Saccharomyces cerevisiae S288C: one gene and its partners. The protein of the gene in region 2 purifies or fractionates together with the protein of the main gene of each other region. This does not show direct contact. Each region holds a gene or a part of one and is shown on either strand. Other genes may lie near its edges.

What was found.
Region 1: the proteins of NIP7 (region 2) and NOG1 purify together in Saccharomyces cerevisiae (affinity purification with mass spectrometry; 4 studies listed by BioGRID). This does not show direct contact.
Region 3: the proteins of NIP7 (region 2) and BRX1 purify together in Saccharomyces cerevisiae (affinity purification with mass spectrometry; 3 studies listed by BioGRID, with this or other methods). This does not show direct contact.
Region 4: the proteins of NIP7 (region 2) and NOP2 purify together in Saccharomyces cerevisiae (affinity purification with mass spectrometry; 7 studies listed by BioGRID). This does not show direct contact.

What each region holds. Positions count from the first base shown.
Region 1 is NC_001148.4:368,377-374,377, forward strand, and holds NOG1 (putative GTPase NOG1), read left to right. Parts: upstream 1-2,601; coding exon 2,602-4,545; downstream 4,546-6,001. Other genes in the region: EEB1 (medium-chain fatty acid ethyl ester synthase/esterase), read right to left, coding at 1-1,065; Sec63 complex subunit SEC62, read right to left, coding at 1,463-2,287; SSU1 (Ssu1p), read left to right, coding at 5,417-6,001. UniProt on the Saccharomyces cerevisiae protein: Involved in the biogenesis of the 60S ribosomal subunit.
Region 2 is NC_001148.4:150,497-154,540, forward strand, and holds NIP7 (ribosome biosynthesis protein NIP7), read left to right. Parts: upstream 1-2,998; coding exon 2,999-3,544; downstream 3,545-4,044. Other genes in the region: U2 snRNP complex subunit LEA1, read left to right, coding at 118-834; pseudouridine synthase PUS1, read right to left, coding at 1,019-2,653; signal recognition particle subunit SRP72, read right to left, coding at 3,794-4,044. UniProt on the Saccharomyces cerevisiae protein: Required for proper 27S pre-rRNA processing and 60S ribosome subunit assembly.
Region 3 is NC_001147.6:184,468-189,363, reverse strand, and holds BRX1 (ribosome biogenesis protein BRX1), read left to right. Parts: upstream 1-2,640; coding exon 2,641-3,516; downstream 3,517-4,896. Other genes in the region: MDM20 (Mdm20p), read right to left, coding at 1-2,340; ATP19 (F1F0 ATP synthase subunit k), read right to left, coding at 3,720-3,926; AVO1 (Avo1p), read right to left, coding at 4,152-4,896. UniProt on the Saccharomyces cerevisiae protein: Required for biogenesis of the 60S ribosomal subunit.
Region 4 is NC_001146.8:508,695-512,896, forward strand, and holds NOP2 (rRNA (cytosine-C5-)-methyltransferase NOP2), read left to right. Parts: upstream 1-1,845; coding exon 1,846-3,702; downstream 3,703-4,202. Other genes in the region: MTQ1 (S-adenosylmethionine-dependent methyltransferase), read left to right, coding at 1-8; tRNA 1-methyladenosine methyltransferase subunit GCD10, read right to left, coding at 82-1,518; actin-related protein ARP5, read right to left, coding at 3,974-4,202. UniProt on the Saccharomyces cerevisiae protein: S-adenosyl-L-methionine-dependent methyltransferase that specifically methylates the C(5) position of cytosine 2870 (m5C2870) in 25S rRNA. Required for 60S ribosomal subunit synthesis and processing.

The DNA of each region.
Region 1 (6,001 bases), 220 kb from region 2:
TAATATGTCTGTAAATTTTTCAGCCTTTTCCAAATTTTCTCTGGTATACGTATAAAAGACTGGTTTCTCAACTGTCGGTTTGTGCGAAACCTCAAAATTCTCTGGTACCTGCAACTCATTCATATTAACCTTGACAGTCCTTGTTAGAAATTGTGTTAAAGTTCTAGAAAAAATATGGTTGGACCACCAATCATGAGCCAACTTGTCCCAAGTGTGTACGAAATCCCATGGGTTTGAGAGAGCGACTGCAGCATTTAATGGACAGTTATCTCCTTCTTCACCTAAGTAGTTCGTTAGCATGGCTGCTCCAAATGATGTTCCGACTGCATATATTTTTCTTTGCGGAAATAGAGCTTTTTGGTGGTTCAAAAATTCTCTCACATCACCTGTGTGTAATGCGGTAAAGATTCTACGGGTGGTGACTTTAGATCTTGAGCAACCTCTAGCATTAAGGACTACCACTTGGAATTTACCGTCACCGACTTTTGATAGATCTTCAGATAATGCCCTGATGAGAGGCTCATGGCTTCCCCCTGCAAGACCATGAAGTACTACCACTAAAGGGTAAGAATAACCCTTAGAATGACATTTTTCAAGTTCCTCAGAGGATAGATATCTAGTTCTCGGGTGAAGACGAGGCCAACCCTTTGGATGGGTGGCCTTTTCATCGTTCGAAAATTGTTTCTCGTTAAAACTAGCCTTTTCAGCATTTAATGAATATGTTTGCTCCCATTCAGGCATAACCCAATCTGCAGTGCAGACCCCTCCATCAGAAAATTTTATAATCTCTCTTCCATAAAATACCTGAAATTTTTTGGAAAAATCACCGGCTGACAAATAAAGGGTCTGTAAGTAACCTGTGAAAAGCAAGCTGTTTAACCTAAAATTTGCACCATCTTTGAGTGTAGGCACGTGTTTGGTTACGAATTCATGAAGAGGAATTTGGCGCTTAGAATCTCTGAAAGCCAAAGACTTGGTTCCTTTCTCTCCCAGTACATGTTTGACGGTGCCGTTATAGCCCCAATGGCTAGGAGTGACAGTTGGATAGTAACCCGAGCGAAACATTAAAATGACAAATATGAAAATACTTGATATCTTGATCTTTTTGCTAATCTTCAAAAATACCGAAAACTAAGTAGGCAACCAGATGCAGAACCCTTCTTATATAATCGATTCCTGTAAGCAAGTGTCAGCAAATAGCTTCTATATAGAGACCTTTCGGTGAAAGTATATTAAAGCCGGCCGGAAATTGAGTAATAATAACCGCTAATTATGCGGTGTGTGGATTCAGATTTTTGCCAGGAGCGATAACCTTCAAATCTAAAACTACTCACTATAAGCGATGAAGCAACCAGATGGTAGCGCTTTGGTGCCGGTTCTCTTGAAGGTTTGTACATGTGCGAGTTCATGAGGTTACAATATAGAAGGTTTATACAGTAGAGCTATACAGGATAATGGAAGTTCAGTTTTGTTCGGCTTTTTCATTGATGGCTTTCTTCTTATTGCTTTCTCTCTTGGCTTGTTTCTTCTTCATTCTTTTCAGTTTCTTTTTGTAACTATAAGTATCCTTCTCACCAAAACCGTAAAGTGGCTTAAAACTCTCTAGTACACCGCAATCTTCGAACAGGTTGGGAAAGATCCAGAACCCACCAACATCTTTGTAGACAATTAATGACAAAACATATAATATCAATCTCAGGATAGCGACAGCAAAGAAGCCTGCTAAGATGCCGAAGGCACCCAGAGACACATAATAGGAGCCGCGTCTCATGGAGCGCGGCCACAATGGGTAGCATACGAGCGCCAATATGATGGACACGACACCAATGACGATCAAGTAATCCATGTAGGTTCTAGGGTTATAGTTCCAAACAAAGTATTCATCGGCTTCCAATTGTGCTTTATTCGAAACAATCAAGTGCGGAAAGTCCTTGCTTGGCTTCAATCCATGCTCTTTGCATTCTTGACTATGCAATTTTTTCACTGGGATCACCATTTGTGCCTTTATAAGTTGAATAAAGATTTCACGTGACTTAAGCTGGTCTTCGATCTTGTTAGAAGGTATAGTTGGATATATCTCTGGCTGTCTTGCAGATTTGTTGGCATACTCCTCAGAATGCAGTGCCCTAACAAATCTCTTGTAACGGAAGAAGTCTGTCTGCTTGGCCTGGAATAAACCCTGCCTTTGCTTCAACTCCTTATGGTTGCGTAAAAGAGTAGCAATGGCTGTAGCAGATCCGCCATTGACACTAGCACCTGCATTGCTACCTGGACCTACGGCTGACATGTTCTCCTGTGTTTGCTCGGCTACCATACTGCATTCAACTGCAATTATAAAAGCCCACTCTTCTCCCTCTTGATTTGTATGCCAGTATTGGGAAAACGACACGTCTATTCCGTCGCACACGATCTTCACTTTCTTTTTTTTTTTCAACTGAACGAAAAGTTTTTTCCGCAGCTCATCGCAAAGAAAAATTTTCACCTATGTACTACCTCATCTAATACAATATAAAGAATACACTTCAGATTTAGGAGTTGCAGCGTTTATAAAAAAGTAAGTGTACCCTCCAAAAGCAAACACATCTCCCTCCTATACCGAAGATGCAACTTTCATGGAAGGATATCCCTACTGTCGCTCCAGCAAATGATTTGCTGGATATTGTCTTGAACAGAACCCAGAGAAAGACACCAACTGTGATCAGACCTGGTTTCAAGATTACAAGAATCAGAGCGTTCTATATGCGTAAAGTTAAATACACAGGTGAAGGTTTCGTGGAAAAATTTGAGGACATTTTAAAGGGTTTTCCTAACATCAATGACGTGCATCCTTTCCATAGAGATTTGATGGACACCCTATACGAAAAGAATCATTACAAGATATCTTTGGCAGCTATATCTCGTGCGAAGTCCCTTGTGGAACAAGTCGCCAGAGATTATGTCAGATTGCTAAAATTCGGTCAATCTTTATTTCAATGTAAACAATTGAAAAGGGCCGCTTTAGGTAGAATGGCAACTATAGTCAAGAAATTGAGGGACCCATTGGCCTATTTGGAACAAGTCAGACAGCACATTGGTAGATTACCATCGATCGACCCAAATACCAGAACCTTGCTGATCTGTGGTTATCCAAATGTCGGTAAGTCCTCGTTTTTGAGATGCATTACCAAATCAGACGTCGATGTTCAACCATATGCTTTCACAACCAAGAGTTTATACGTTGGTCATTTTGACTACAAATACTTGAGATTTCAAGCTATTGACACCCCTGGTATCCTAGATAGACCCACTGAAGAAATGAACAACATTGAAATGCAATCGATTTATGCCATTGCCCATTTACGTTCTTGTGTTTTGTACTTCATGGATCTTTCCGAACAATGTGGTTTCACCATCGAAGCTCAAGTTAAACTATTCCACTCCATCAAGCCTCTATTCGCCAACAAGTCTGTCATGGTTGTTATCAACAAAACCGACATTATCAGACCGGAGGATTTAGACGAAGAGCGTGCACAATTACTGGAATCTGTTAAGGAGGTTCCAGGTGTTGAAATCATGACTTCTTCATGCCAACTGGAAGAAAACGTTATGGAAGTTAGAAACAAAGCATGTGAAAAACTATTGGCTTCTAGAATTGAGAATAAGTTGAAATCTCAGTCTAGAATCAACAATGTTCTGAACAAGATTCATGTTGCTCAACCTCAAGCAAGAGATGATGTCAAGAGAACACCATTTATCCCAGAATCTGTCAAGAATTTGAAGAAATACGACCCTGAAGATCCAAACAGGAGAAAGTTGGCCAGAGACATCGAAGCTGAAAATGGTGGTGCTGGTGTCTTCAATGTTAACTTGAAGGACAAGTACCTATTAGAAGATGATGAGTGGAAGAATGACATCATGCCAGAAATCTTGGATGGTAAGAATGTTTATGATTTCTTGGACCCTGAAATCGCTGCTAAACTGCAGGCTCTTGAAGAAGAAGAAGAAAAATTGGAGAACGAAGGGTTCTACAATTCTGACGATGAGGAAGAAATCTACGACGGTTTCGAAGCATCCGAAGTAGATGATATCAAGGAGAAAGCTGCATGGATTAGAAATAGACAAAAGACGATGATTGCTGAAGCAAGAAATAGGAAGTCCTTGAAGAACAAAGCTATCATGCCACGTTCTAAACTAACTAAGTCCTTTGGTAAAATGGAAGAACACATGTCCACTTTGGGCCATGACATGTCAGCCTTACAAGATAAACAGAACCGTGCTGCTCGTAAGAACCGTTATGTTGAAAGAGGTTCTGATGTTGTTTTTGGCGACCAAGATGCTTTGACAGCTTCCACTGAAAACGGTGTCAAGTTGAGACAAACCGATAGACTGTTGGATGGTGTTGCTGATGGCTCCATGAGATCCAAGGCCGACAGGATGGCCAAGATGGAAAGAAGAGAAAGAAATAGACATGCCAAGCAAGGTGAATCTGATAGACACAATGCTGTTTCCTTATCAAAGCATTTATTCAGTGGTAAGCGTGGTGTCGGTAAGACAGATTTCCGTTGATTTCTCTACTTCTTATTCTTTCTTTTGCATGTACTTTAAAAAAAATATGAATATAAAATGTGGATGTACGTACACGACATTCTAATCTTTTTGGGCTGGTAGGATTACCATTTACATTTGATTATCTCTCTCACTATTAGTGGTTTCTTTTTCTTTCTTTCTCACTTTTTCTGTATCTTTTTTTTAAAAAAATTTTATTTAATCTGTATAATAATAATAAACCGATTTAAATTATCCAACAAGCCGACCCCTCCATGTTCTACTATTTTTTTGTATGTCACTGGATGTATACAAATAATTAAGCATGTGGAAAAAGAAGGGGTGGGATAGCGTCAAGATGACACTTCTACTTTTTTGTGACACATCATCATGCAACCTATCGAGTCTCCCACGAGGTTGACAAATAAGAAATTGTTATCGTTTTTGCAGTGTATCGTATAAGGCAACAATAGCGATGTCTCCCATCAATTGACTGATAAATTCCTGCAAACTATCATTTTTTTTTTTTCATCCTTGTGCCGCGTCTGTAGCCGAAAATCTGAGAGTGCATGAATCTTAAAAAACAGAAGACTCATCGCCGTCTTTGGCACATTGGGGTTGTCTTTGACTTCTTTTGCTTATTTTTGCTCACTTTGCTTATTTTACCTATTTAACTAGAGGTTCTAAAAGAATAGCCAACCAGCGTGTAGTTCTTATTTCTAATCCTTGTCTTGTTAAGTTGAAACTTGTGATATTGGCTGAACAAATTCTCCGCATTTAGACAACACACAAATTACAGCTTTCCCCTAGTAACGATTGTTGATTGAGCTCAGACAATACGCGCAATTTAAAAACGTTTTATAGTGTAAGAGAAGACAAGTACAAGAAAAAAATGGTTGCCAATTGGGTACTTGCTCTTACGAGGCAGTTTGACCCCTTCATGTTTATGATGGTCATGGGTGTCGGCATTTCATCGAATATTCTATATAGCTTCCCATATCCTGCAAGGTGGCTAAGAATATGCTCCTACATCATGTTTGCTATCGCTTGCCTTATTTTCATTGCTGTGCAGGCACTACAAATATTACATTTGATTGTCTATATTAAGGAGAAAAGCTTCAGAGAATATTTTAATGACTTTTTCAGAAATATGAAGCACAATTTATTTTGGGGTACTTATCCCATGGGGTTAGTTACAATTATAAATTTCTTAGGAGCACTCTCGAAAGCGAACACGACGAAGAGCCCCACTAATGCCAGAAATTTGATGATATTTGTTTACGTCTTGTGGTGGTATGATCTCGCAGTCTGTCTAGTAATAGCGTGGGGTATCTCGTTTCTCATCTGGCATGACTATTACCCTTTGGAAGGGATTGGGAATTATCCTTCATATAATATCAAAATGGCATCCGAAAACATGAAAAGTGTATTGCTACTGGATATCATTCCGCTGGTTGTCGTCGCTTCAAGTTGTGGA
Region 2 (4,044 bases):
TTATCATAGATGACATTTACTTATATTAGGCCAATCGCATACTCTGCATCCAACAAGCCTTCAACAGGTCGAAGTGAAACTACAGGACTTGGAAAATATCAGTTTTTATAAGCAATAATGAAGTTCACCCCTAGCATAGTTATTGATGCTCCGCAATATTATGTTGATCATTTTAATGGCAAGTATAACGTGGATAAATGTGTTATTTTAAGAGACCTGCAGCTAGAAACGGATTCAGAATCCATGCCATCCAGCTTAAAGCATTTGACCAAACCTACGCACATCTTGGATTTGACAAACAATGACCTTATCATGATTCCAGATCTATCAAGAAGAGACGATATACATACATTACTGTTGGGCCGAAACAATATCGTTGAAGTAGACGGTCGCCTATTGCCTATGAATGTACAGAACCTTACATTATCGAATAACAGCATAAGAAGGTTTGAAGATCTTCAAAGGTTGCGTAGAGCGCCCAGGACGTTGAAGAATCTAACTTTAATAGGGAATCAAGTATGTCATTTAGCCAATTATAGAGAACATGTACTTCGATTAGTACCGCATTTAGAGACTTTAGACTTTCAAAACGTAACAGCTGAGGAAAGAAAGAGCGCAATGAGCTTTCCAAGGCAGGCGGACGGCGATACGTTGGGCCCAGTAAATACTGCAATAAGAGATAATGGATCCAGAGATAAAACGATGGAGATCATGAATTTGGTGGTGAGTAAGATGACAGTAGAGAGAAGAAATGAATTGAAAAAGCAGTTAGCAGAAGCTACTTCTTTAGAAGAGATTGCCAGGCTGGAAAAACTACTCTCTGGTGGTGTTTAATCTTTTGGTTAGTGCGACTGTTCAATGACTTAAAAAAAAAGAATTATAAATTATTCTGTGCCATTATATAATAATATATAAAACGAAAACAAATAATGGTGCTCTATAAACATTAGAGGACAATGTCAATTTCAATGTCAATGCCTTAGAAATTAAAGTTGGTAAGAAAGAAGGAAAGGGCAACCTAATTAGCTGCCGCTTCCGGTTGTACTTCAGGTTCGTTGCTCTGAGTGGTGCTGGATATTTCAGCCTTTTTACTAGCAGCTTCCTCCTCTTCCATTCTTTTTCTTTGCTTAATCTTCTTATTGCTCTCGGGCGCATCAGTAAGACCTGGGATACCCTTAGCTGTCAAGAATTCGAAGATACTCTTTTGCACAGCAGGTCCCGATTTATCGGCAGTTTCTTCTCCCTGTGCTCCAGTAACCTTGTTGAAACTATCAATATAACTAAAGAACGCATTAAAAACATTTTCGTCCACCTCTTCCTTGTAGATCTTATCGTAGATATGCTTCATTTTGAACTTATCCACTTCGTCTTGATATTTGGAAAAATCGATCGCCTTGTAACCAAACTGTTCTAGTCTTTTATTATAACCTTCAAATACTGGAGCTTCTAACAATAATCCTAATGCAGGTGCCTTCGGAATATTAATCTTCTGCTGTCCGTAAGCCTGACTAATGCGTTCGACGGGGCAACCACAACGGGTAATTAAGGTTGCCATTGATACCATCTTACGAATTTGATGTAGCATGAAAGACTGGCCGTGAATCTTGATGGAAATCCATTCTGTTTGGGCATCGCCAATAACAAATGGATCAGATACTTTTATATCTTTCATAAATCGAATGGCACTTGGTTCTTTGAAGTCCTTGCCTAATGTAAAATTATGGAAGTTATGAGCGCCAAGGTATTGACTTGTAGAAGCACGGAATTTGGCCAGTTTTGCCGCGGATATACGATATCTTCTACGGTGAGCATTTTCTAATTGCTTGTACTTTTTTACCTTCTGGTATAGTTCTTCATTTATATCAAATTCATCTCTTGCGGGCGGAACATATGCTAATATAGCTTCGATTTCTTCTGTTGAAAATTTTTCATTCGCATCTTTTTTAAACTCTTCCCAAAATTCTTTGGATTCCAAATCTTCATCTAATACACCAGGTAATTCTGTTTTACTTTCTTCGATGTCTCTATAAAGTATAGAACCAGGTTTGGGGCCAATGAGTGAATAAGTTGGTAATAAGTATTCGTACCAACGTGAACTGCACATTTTTCTACAATCAAACGCCTTGTTCACACGCTCGATATCCCATACCCTTATCCCTTCCGGTAACTTTTCGTTGATCTTCTGCTTGATATCAGGATCTTCAATAATCATTTTCAATGATATTAAATTACCTCCAGCATGGACACCCTTATCAGTTCTTGCAGCTCTCATGAATCCATTCTTTTTCAAATCGTTGGAGTTGTCCTTGGAAATAGCACCTGCTTCAACAAATGCTTTGAATAGGGCAGACTCGATGGTTGGATTTGGTGGATTATATTGCATACCATGGTAGCCAGTACCACAGTAACCAACCATAACAGCCACCTTTCTCTTTGGGAGACGAGGCTCCTTGGGAAGTGGATTGCCATTTTCATCCAAACGAGGACCGCTTTTTGGTCTTTTATCTATGTGTTTGTCATTATCCTTTTTTTTGTCCTTTTCATCGTCGAAGTCTGCCTTACGAGCTTTGGTCAATTTGCTCTGAGCGCCTCTCTTGTAGACATCCTCATTAACTTGATCGTCATAGGCAGGCCTCAAATTCTCTTCAGACATCCTTGATATCACTTATAATTGTTATTTACTAGCACTTTATTGTCCTTTATTATTTTTTTAGTACTTCTTGTATTTCAAATTTCTCGAACTATAGCGATGACTAAAAGTGAAAAATTTCAAAGCCAAAAGAAAAAAAAAAAAAGAAAATATTATTTCAGCGGCTAATAGTTACCCGCATCAAAATAATATATCTCTGTACGGTAATGAAAATTTTTGAAATATGCGATGAGCTTAGAACTAAAGTAAGCAATGTATTATTGAGGTAATTGACGGTTTAGTGATTGGATCGTATTCTAGATTTCCGAGTAGTAGAACCATTGAGGGAAACTATAGTTAGGTGCAATAATGAGACAGCTAACAGAAGAAGAGACCAAGGTTGTTTTCGAAAAACTCGCCGGCTATATTGGTAGAAATATTTCTTTTTTAGTGGATAATAAAGAACTTCCTCATGTCTTCAGATTACAAAAGGATAGAGTATATTACGTACCCGATCATGTTGCAAAATTGGCTACTAGTGTAGCAAGACCTAACTTGATGTCTCTGGGTATTTGTTTAGGTAAATTCACGAAAACTGGAAAATTCAGGTTACATATTACTTCTTTGACAGTATTGGCTAAGCATGCCAAATATAAGATATGGATTAAACCTAATGGGGAGATGCCATTCTTATACGGTAATCATGTGTTAAAGGCACATGTGGGTAAAATGTCTGATGATATACCAGAACACGCCGGTGTTATTGTGTTTGCAATGAATGATGTGCCATTAGGGTTCGGTGTCAGTGCGAAAAGTACTTCTGAGTCAAGAAACATGCAACCCACTGGTATAGTTGCTTTCAGACAAGCAGATATTGGTGAGTATTTGAGAGATGAAGACACCTTGTTTACTTAGTGGGAAGGACTGATGATGAATTCCCGTGTACATTTCACTTACAGCTTGCGTTATCTCTCACAATGTATTTTTTTCTGTATAATAAAGAATCATATAATTAGCGCTTAAAAGGAAAGAGTTGTTCGATAAAATGGGGAGCCTAACCCCTCGATGACCTTTCTTTTGAATTAGTCGAGTTCCATTTCATATACAATATTACATAACTTGACAACATTTGAGGATTACTAATGACAAAAATCTTTATACGCTCTATTTACGGCCCTTCTTCTTGTTCTTAGGCTTTTTATTAACAGTGGGCTTCCCTTTCTTTGATATGTCAAGGGCCTGTTCTGATTTTTTGTTCATAGCACCACCTTGAGTTTGTTTTGCACCTTGTTGTTTTTTCTTTGGCCTATAAGTAGACCTGTCTCTTAATGGCAGCCACCTTTCAGGATCAGGTAATTTGGAGGTGTCGCGACCTTGTAAAAATTTTTCGAGGCGTTTAATCTTTCTTTTCTTCT
Region 3 (4,896 bases), on a different chromosome or scaffold from region 2:
CTTGACATTTTCAGCTTTAACATCAAGTTCTTTTAACAAGTTGCCACATTCATCTTTTTTTAATTCTTCATATGCTTGTACTAAAGCTTTAGAATAACCTTTAAATACATCATCGCAACAACTCCTCAACTCCTTGAGGGAGTTTTTGATTAGTTTTTGAATTTCTTTATCTTTGATTCTCTTCAAACTGTCTAGTGTTTTTAAGGTTGCCATTTTAGTAAGGTAAGTATGGGATACCATCCAGTTTTGTTTTGCATTTATTGGGACTTTCATCAACCTAGAAATTAAATCATGTAGATTTTTACCGTTATTTTCGTAAATTTCGAAAAAAATCAGAAATGACGCTGACTCCACTTCAGTTAAATTATTATTCAACAACTCTTCAAGGTTAATTGATGGAAGTTTTTTTAAGAGCGCACTTATTTGTTCCGTTTTCTCCCCATTTGGCAAAGCTTCAATAATAAGTTCTCTTATCAAAGTTAGAAAAATTGATTCTTCATTCAAGTTAGCATATTCCAAAATTTTACCACGGTTAAGAAATTGGGCAAAATTTTCATCTAATATGGAAAAGTCTCTATTGTCAGAAAATGATACACTTTGCGTCATTTCTAAAGATCTCCAATCTTCGTGTAATTTTTGTAGTAGGTGGCCGCGCTTGTCGTTGCATAAACGTGAGAACTGTAAGTTTTCTAAAGTTTTGGTCCATCTTGTATAGGATTTCATTAGTTTATCCCTCATCTCGAGCATTCCTAGTATTTTGCTATATGAATTTCTTTCGAATGCCACCTGAATATATCTTGGTAAATTAGCCAGTGATGTATCGTATAAATTATTATGTTCATGGAATGTCTTGGAGTAAAAATCGCTCTGTTTATTCGGGAACAAAGTAGAAAATCTCGAGAATATCATGTAATCTAGGGAATCTGTTTGAACGTTTTTAATCTTTAGGTTTATGAAATGGAAATAAGCATCGGGAACTAAACCCAGGTACATGTATAAAACAATCAGCCAGCACATAGTATCGAAGTTATGAGGGTCCTTGGCTTGGTAATTTTCCAATATCGTTATACACAAAAGCACGTCTTTCAATTCAGGATTAGTTTTCTTGCACTTGTCCTTGACTATTTCTAATAAGAATGTAGAACAGGAGGAATAATCCGTTACCGATTTTTTTTCCAGGGTCCCCTTAAACTTGTTATAGTTATTGATTGAGTCGCTTCCAATAAGTCCCAATTCTAGAATATTACAATGATGAATCAAATCCTTATCCTCTGGATCGTACTTAGACATAATGCTCTTAAGCATATCTATGTTAATGTGGCCGCTGTAATGATTCAAATCGATTGAACAACAAGGTTTGTTATGGTACTTTGATAAATAGTACGACAAAGATGATTCCGAAACCGAATCGGTGTACATTATATCAAGTTTCAAGCGCGCCAATCGAGTATTCCTTGAGTCTCCCAAATTTTCATCAATCCATTGTTTGACTTCGTCTTTAGATTTAGAAAGTTTGTAGGCAGCATCAATCAAGTTTGTGATCAATTCATAATCATCAAGGCCCTTTTCAATAAGTTTTGAACAAACTTCAAAAAGTTTTTGTGGAGAATTCAATAACTTGGTATGCTTCAAGATAAAGTTTTTCAAATACAAGTTTACTGAAGTATCAAAATTGGCAAAGGTAATCGCAACAATCTCTTCCGAGATTTCTCTAGATTGAGGGAATAGTTCATCCAACACCAAACAATAAACTATAATCTCTTGAACATTTTGAAATGGTTTCAAGTCTAACAAAGACTGGCGCGCTAGCCTGGAGAGCAAAATTTTCTTGGGATCTGAAAGAGTGTTTTCCTGAAACCTTGATACGGCTAAAATCGAGATTGCATTCCAAAAATAATATGCTCTTTTAGGCAGGTTTCCACTGTCACTGTATTTAGCTAGCTGTAGAGATGCTTTGCTCATTTGGTTATAATTGGAATCTTCCAATGCTTTCATAAACCAGTGATAAGACAATTCGTAGCTAGGGAATTTGAAATTTCCTCTTTCATACACGTGCAATGCTTCGTCGTATTTCCCTAACTCTACGAAGAAGTTGTGCAAAAACTCCAAGGAACGCGTGTCGCCCGTAATCGTTGTCCCTTTCAGCCCATATGGTTCTTCTAGCAGTTTATTGTAATCGAACTTACCAGGTGACTGCTTGAATTTAACATAGGTTTCCAAAATCTTGAAGTACAACGCATTGGGAAATTGTTTTTGCAATTGCCCCAGTTTTGCATAGCATTGTTTGAAGTTGGACCTGCTTACTAGTCCTAATATCTCCTCCTGTATCTTGTCGGACATGCTTCGATGCGATGATTGCTGTACCGAGCTCGTTATGTATCGTTGCTTCGCCAATGAATTCTGTTGCAGCTGACATTTATTATTTATTTTCCTAAAGCCCTCGGCGGTCCGTGGACAGTGATTTTCGTTAAAGGTGACTGAAAAATTTTAGATGCTCATCGCGATGGTTCTCAAAGAATCTATCACCTAAAAAGATACAGAAATTGCTATAATATTTACGAGTTAGAAGGTTACTTAGCCTTATTTTGCTTCACGTCTTTCTTTATACATTCGTCAGGTGTTGAAAGAGTTCAACCAAAGATGTCTTCTATCTACAAAGCCCTCGCAGGAAAGAGCAAAGATAATAAATCTGAAAAGAAGCAAGGCAATGTCAAGCAATTTATGAACAAGCAAAGAACTCTTCTGATTTCGAGTAGAGGTGTTAACTATAGACATCGTCATTTAATTCAAGACTTAAGCGGATTATTGCCTCATTCCAGAAAGGAGCCAAAATTGGATACTAAAAAGGATCTTCAACAGTTGAACGAAATCGCTGAGTTGTACAATTGTAATAATGTTCTATTCTTTGAGGCCAGAAAACACCAAGATTTGTATCTATGGTTATCCAAGCCGCCAAATGGGCCAACTATAAAATTTTACATTCAAAACTTGCATACTATGGATGAGTTGAATTTTACAGGTAACTGTTTAAAGGGTTCTCGTCCGGTATTGTCGTTTGATCAACGTTTCGAATCCTCCCCACACTACCAATTAATTAAGGAGTTGCTAGTGCATAATTTTGGTGTACCACCAAATGCTAGAAAATCTAAGCCATTTATTGATCACGTCATGTCCTTCAGTATTGTAGATGATAAAATATGGGTGAGGACATATGAGATCTCACACAGTACTAAGAACAAAGAAGAATATGAAGATGGCGAAGAAGACATATCATTAGTGGAAATTGGCCCTAGGTTTGTTATGACTGTCATTTTGATCCTAGAAGGTTCATTTGGTGGTCCAAAGATCTATGAAAATAAACAATATGTTTCGCCAAACGTCGTAAGAGCTCAAATTAAACAACAAGCTGCTGAGGAGGCAAAGTCTAGAGCTGAAGCTGCTGTGGAAAGAAAAATTAAGAGAAGAGAGAATGTTCTTGCCGCCGATCCTTTATCAAACGATGCCTTGTTTAAATAATAAGCATAATACTATCAGAGAGTTTTACATAACATTGTATATTAAAAAGATATAACAAGAAAAGAGTGGATGTAGCAACTGTCTAGTTATAGACCTCTTTTTAATAATTTAATGTTTAAATCTTGAATATCGAAAGCTGTATATATAAAGAATATTTATTGTATGTACAAAAGATCTTCAACCGCGCAGCAATCAAGCTATATTTACGCATCTTGCTTTTCCGAATGTTTCTTTAAGTAGTTTTCAATGAATTTTTCCTCGTCTTTGTTGTCTGTTTTGATGTCGACTGTTTTTGGCTTTGCGCTTTTAAAAGGATTTGGAACAACCAATAAACCTAGCAGTCCTAATGTCCCAATGGCTAGTTGGTGTGGAGGGATAGCTTTCCCCATGAAATGATAAGCAGCACCCATTGTCGTAGTTATAAATTATTATTTGAAGTCACCTGGCCTTATTCAATGCTAACGAGTTATGTGCTCTATGGGGGGACTTGCTCCTAAAAAGCTCTTTTTTTTCCCTTTGCATCGAGAAGCGGACTCTGACCAATCACCATCGAGATCGCGATGAAGTATTTTCTATACCATATTTAGATATAAACCAAAATTAATGCTGGTAAGATGCAGTATAATGGGTTTTACTTATTTATGATTCATTCTATAAGCGCTTAATAAGTTTTGTAATCGCGTCACGATCTCAGTACACTCTTGACCTGAAACTGCTTCAAAGTAGTACCTTTTGATATCATCTTGCCCCTCTCTTCTTACGAAAATTTTGAAATGCTCAGGGACTCTTTTGGATTTTTTGACAAGAACCACTTGACTAATGTGTAACGACTTAGTCTTTACATTATCATGCCAATGTATACGTCCCTCCGGGGGTACAATGTATATGTAGTCGCCATCAATGGCTAGTGTTCTTTCATGCTTGTTTATAAATGACATTTGCTGCCTTCTCCATACCTTATATTTATGATACGCTCCGGTAAAAAGATCTTGGAAGTTATCTCCAACTCCATTTGGAGTGTCAGGCGTGTGCTCCATCGTACTCTGAGAACGGTTTATATTATGAAACTGCAGTGTCCCATGCAAAGAGGATTTGGATGAATTCTTGTTCTTGAAAAACCCATTTCCATTGGCGAGACCGCCAGCCGTTGAAACACTTCCACTAGCAACACTTGATGACGAATGCTGCTTTGCCAAGCCCAGCTTATACTTCGTGGATATCTTCTTAGCTTTGGATGTAACTTTCGTGTTTTCAGGAATGGCAGCCACAGCCCCTCCAGCATCTGCTTTGAGATAAGAGTTCAGAGGCTCCAAAGTTAACGGAGTTAGATCATTACTTTGGATCGTTGGCAAAACGGGCTTCTTTAGGTCAGGTTTCATT
Region 4 (4,202 bases), on a different chromosome or scaffold from region 2:
GCAACTAAGTATATAAATGTAAATATATATATTCTCAGGTTTTTTTGTTGGAAGTTATCAAACGGAACACTCTGTGGACATTTATATTTTTTGTTTCTTAGCTCCATGTTCAGCAAGCTTTTCACTGGAGTCAGCTGCAGTCGCGTTTTCCGATACAGGTTCAGGAGCAGGGATGACTCTGTGACACCACATTAGATATCCACCACCACCTTTCATGGTCATCAGAGGGTGTAGCTTACCCCTTATACTTTGGTACGGCCTACATCTAGTTTCCAAAATTGATGGTGCTAAAAACCTGAGGTCTGAATATAAAGTATGAGCTAATTCCAACAAAGTTTCTTTGAATTGACCATAGCATACAATCGGCCTTGAACCATGGATTTTTTCGGCCAACTTTGGCACTAGTGTTGGTAAATGTAGTGTAGTAGCCATTACAAGACCGTCATATAGGAATTCTCCTGTTAGTTCTAAAATTTGCCATTGTGTATTGTACCATCTGAGTTTTCGGTAGTACGAGTTTTTCTTACCACCTTTTAATGCACGGGCTTCTTCTTTAGGTAATGGTGTAAATCTGCTCTGAATCTCTTGTAGTGTAGGCGGTTCAAAAAAATCTAATAGAGAAATGGTGTGTACATGCTCTTTAATAAATTTCTCAGAATAATTAGCAAACTTCAGCAAATCCAAGTTGGCATGTTCATTTTCGTGAATAACTATGACTTTGCCCTTGGATTTGCTTTCATTGTCACCGCCAAACATTCTTTCCAACAGAAAGTAAACCAATAACCCACCCGTTTCATCCATACAGAGATAGTTGCCTTCTGATTGGATGTTCGCAAGATTTAACAGCATCCCCATCGATTCCTGAGACATATCCAATACCCTTTGGATATCGCCTTTGTCGATTAAGAATTGTAAAAGGTTAGAGCTACTTAAATACTCAACGGTGAAGTACTTGGCGAATTTTTGTTTCTTCCTATTCACATATTTCTCTTGAGAATATACGGTCTTGTTGTGAAAACTTTTGTGAGATTTGATAATTTTGTCGATTATTTCTTTACTAGATAAAGATTCTTGTTTCATTTTTTCAATTTCTTCAACGGTTAACTCTTGGGCCTTGCTGCCCATGTTAACCAGATTCTGATTCGTAGCACTGCTGTCAATGCTAGACAATTCAAGAGACACAGATTTTTCCTTAATAGATAAAGGAGGCTCGCTTTGACCATCGTCTTTATCATTATTGACATCTTTGATCTCCTGCGATAATAGCCTTACTTTCCCGATGGGAATTTTGTTCTTTGGTTTCGAATCTCTATTTTCATCGGATGAAACCTCTTCGCCATCATAATATATCTCGAAAGTCAACCCGAAAGGATAACCAATTATGTCATTAACCTCGAAAGCACCGAATTTTCCTAATGATACAGAGGTGTTGGGCTTTAGTTCCACTATCTTGTAATTTTTTGATGGCAGCCGGACGATAACGTGCTGATTAAAATCTATGGTTGTCAAAGCATTCATTGTGCACTAAATTCAAAGTTTTTTTGTCCAATTCGTTTGCAACAATGTGAGTAGGATCCAACGTGCCAAAGAATTTAAAGTTGAATATTATTATTGTTATTATACACCTCATCGACTTTTTTTTTTTTTTTGATGAAATTTTTCAGATTTTACAAAACCGTTACCCAGTTTCACGTTTTCTGAAAAAAATTTTCATCTCATCGCAGAATAAGTTTAAGATGAGCTGAGCTGCAAATACAGTTGTCGCTAAGGTATATAGATTTGTAATTCTGGCGGAATTCCCCTTGTGTTGGCTAATATTAGAATTACATATACATATAATAGGAAATGGGTAGTAGACGTCATAAGAACAAGCAAGCCGCCCCACCAACCCTGGAGGAGTTTCAGGCAAGAAAGGAAAAGAAGGCTAATAGAAAGCTAGAAAAAGGAAAGAGACCTTCTACCACGCAAGGGGATGAAGTTTCTGATAGAAAGAAAAAGAAGTCGAAGCCATTCAAGAAATCTAGAAAAGAGGAGGAAGAAGTTGTTGAAGAGGATAAGGATTTGCCAGAAGTTGATCTTGAAGAATTATCAAAAGCCAGGAAATCTTTATTTGATGATGAAGAAGATGACGATGAAGCAGGATTGGTGGATGAAGAACTAAAAGATGAATTTGACTTGGAACAAGAATATGATTACGATGAAGATGAAGATAATGACGCCCACCCAATTTTTTCAGATGACGACGATGAGGCTGATCTTGAAGAACTAAATGCACAAAACATGGAAGCTCTTTCTAAGAAACTTGATGAAGAAGAAGCTGAAGAAGCTGAAGAAGCCGAAATGGAGTTAGTGGAAGCGGAGAACATGCAACCAAGAGCAGACATATTGCCCACTGAGGAGCAGGAAGAAATGATGGCACAAGAAACTCCTAATTTAACTTCCACAAGAACAAGAATGATTGAAATTGTAAAGGTTTTGGAAAATTTTAAGACTCTTGGTGCAGAAGGCAGATCGAGAGGAGAATACGTTGACAGACTTTTGAAAGATATTTGTGAGTACTTTGGTTATACACCATTTTTGGCGGAAAAGTTATTCAATCTATTCTCACCAGCAGAGGCGATGGAGTTTTTCGAAGCCAATGAAATTGCAAGACCAATAACCATCAGAACCAACACCTTGAAGACCAGAAGGAGAGACTTAGCTCAAACTCTTGTGAATAGAGGTGTTAATCTACAACCTATTGGTTCTTGGACTAAAGTTGGTCTTCAAATATTCGATTCCCAAGTCCCAATTGGTGCTACGCCAGAATATTTGGCAGGTCACTATATTTTACAAGCGGCATCATCTTTTCTACCAGTTATTGCTCTAGATCCTCATGAAAATGAGCGTATCTTGGATATGGCAGCTGCTCCAGGTGGTAAGACCACTTATATATCAGCTATGATGAAAAACACAGGTTGTGTTTTCGCTAACGACGCCAATAAATCTAGAACAAAATCTTTAATTGCTAATATCCACCGTCTAGGCTGTACCAACACTATTGTATGCAATTACGATGCCCGTGAGTTCCCTAAGGTAATTGGAGGTTTTGACAGAATTTTACTGGATGCCCCATGTTCCGGTACTGGTGTTATCGGTAAGGATCAATCTGTCAAGGTGTCTCGTACCGAGAAGGACTTCATTCAAATTCCACATCTACAAAAACAATTGCTTCTATCCGCCATTGATTCTGTTGATTGCAACTCGAAACATGGTGGTGTAATAGTATATTCGACATGTTCTGTTGCAGTGGAAGAGGACGAAGCTGTCATAGACTATGCATTGAGAAAAAGACCGAATGTCAAGTTAGTCGATACTGGTTTAGCGATCGGTAAAGAAGCGTTTACTAGTTACAGAGGCAAAAAGTTTCATCCTAGTGTGAAATTAGCGAGGAGGTACTATCCACATACGTACAACGTCGATGGGTTCTTTGTCGCTAAATTCCAAAAGATCGGTCCATCTTCGTTTGATGATAACCAAGCAAGTGCAAAAGAAAAGGAAACTGCTGCTAGAAAGGAAGCTTTGGAAGAAGGTATCATTCACTCTGACTTCGCAACCTTCGAGGACGAAGAAGACGATAAGTACATTGAAAAGTCTGTGAAAAACAATCTTTTGAAAAAGGGTGTCAATCCAAAAGCTAAAAGACCTTCTAACGAAAAATAAGTTCCCACAAACGTAGTGGCATCATGTTAGCATAGTTTTCTCTCTCTAATCTTTCTCTGTCTACATATATATATATATATATATATATCAATTTCAAATATGTCTCACTGTATATTAAATTCAAAATAGAAATAATAAAGCCGATTTGTAAACAGCACTAAGAAAAAAGGCGATGATATTACTTATTAATATTCGTTGCCAATATAGTATTACATATATCTCTATTTATTTCTCTTTTTTTGTTTTTAAGGCGTTTCAGTTTGCTGTCTCCTTAGTCTTCAAAATACTTCGTATTCCCTAACTTATGCTCTTTGATGTACTCTGGACCGTACTCTTCGTATTCTTTCTTACTGATAACTGTTTTCCTATACTGTTCTTCGTTTCGTGCTAGAGCTGCCATACCCTTCCAGGCATCCAATGAAGGATCTGAAGACATATTTACAGTGATATTGGTACCGGTAGGAAGGAATCCAGTGAATTCCTTCACAATACGTTCTTTC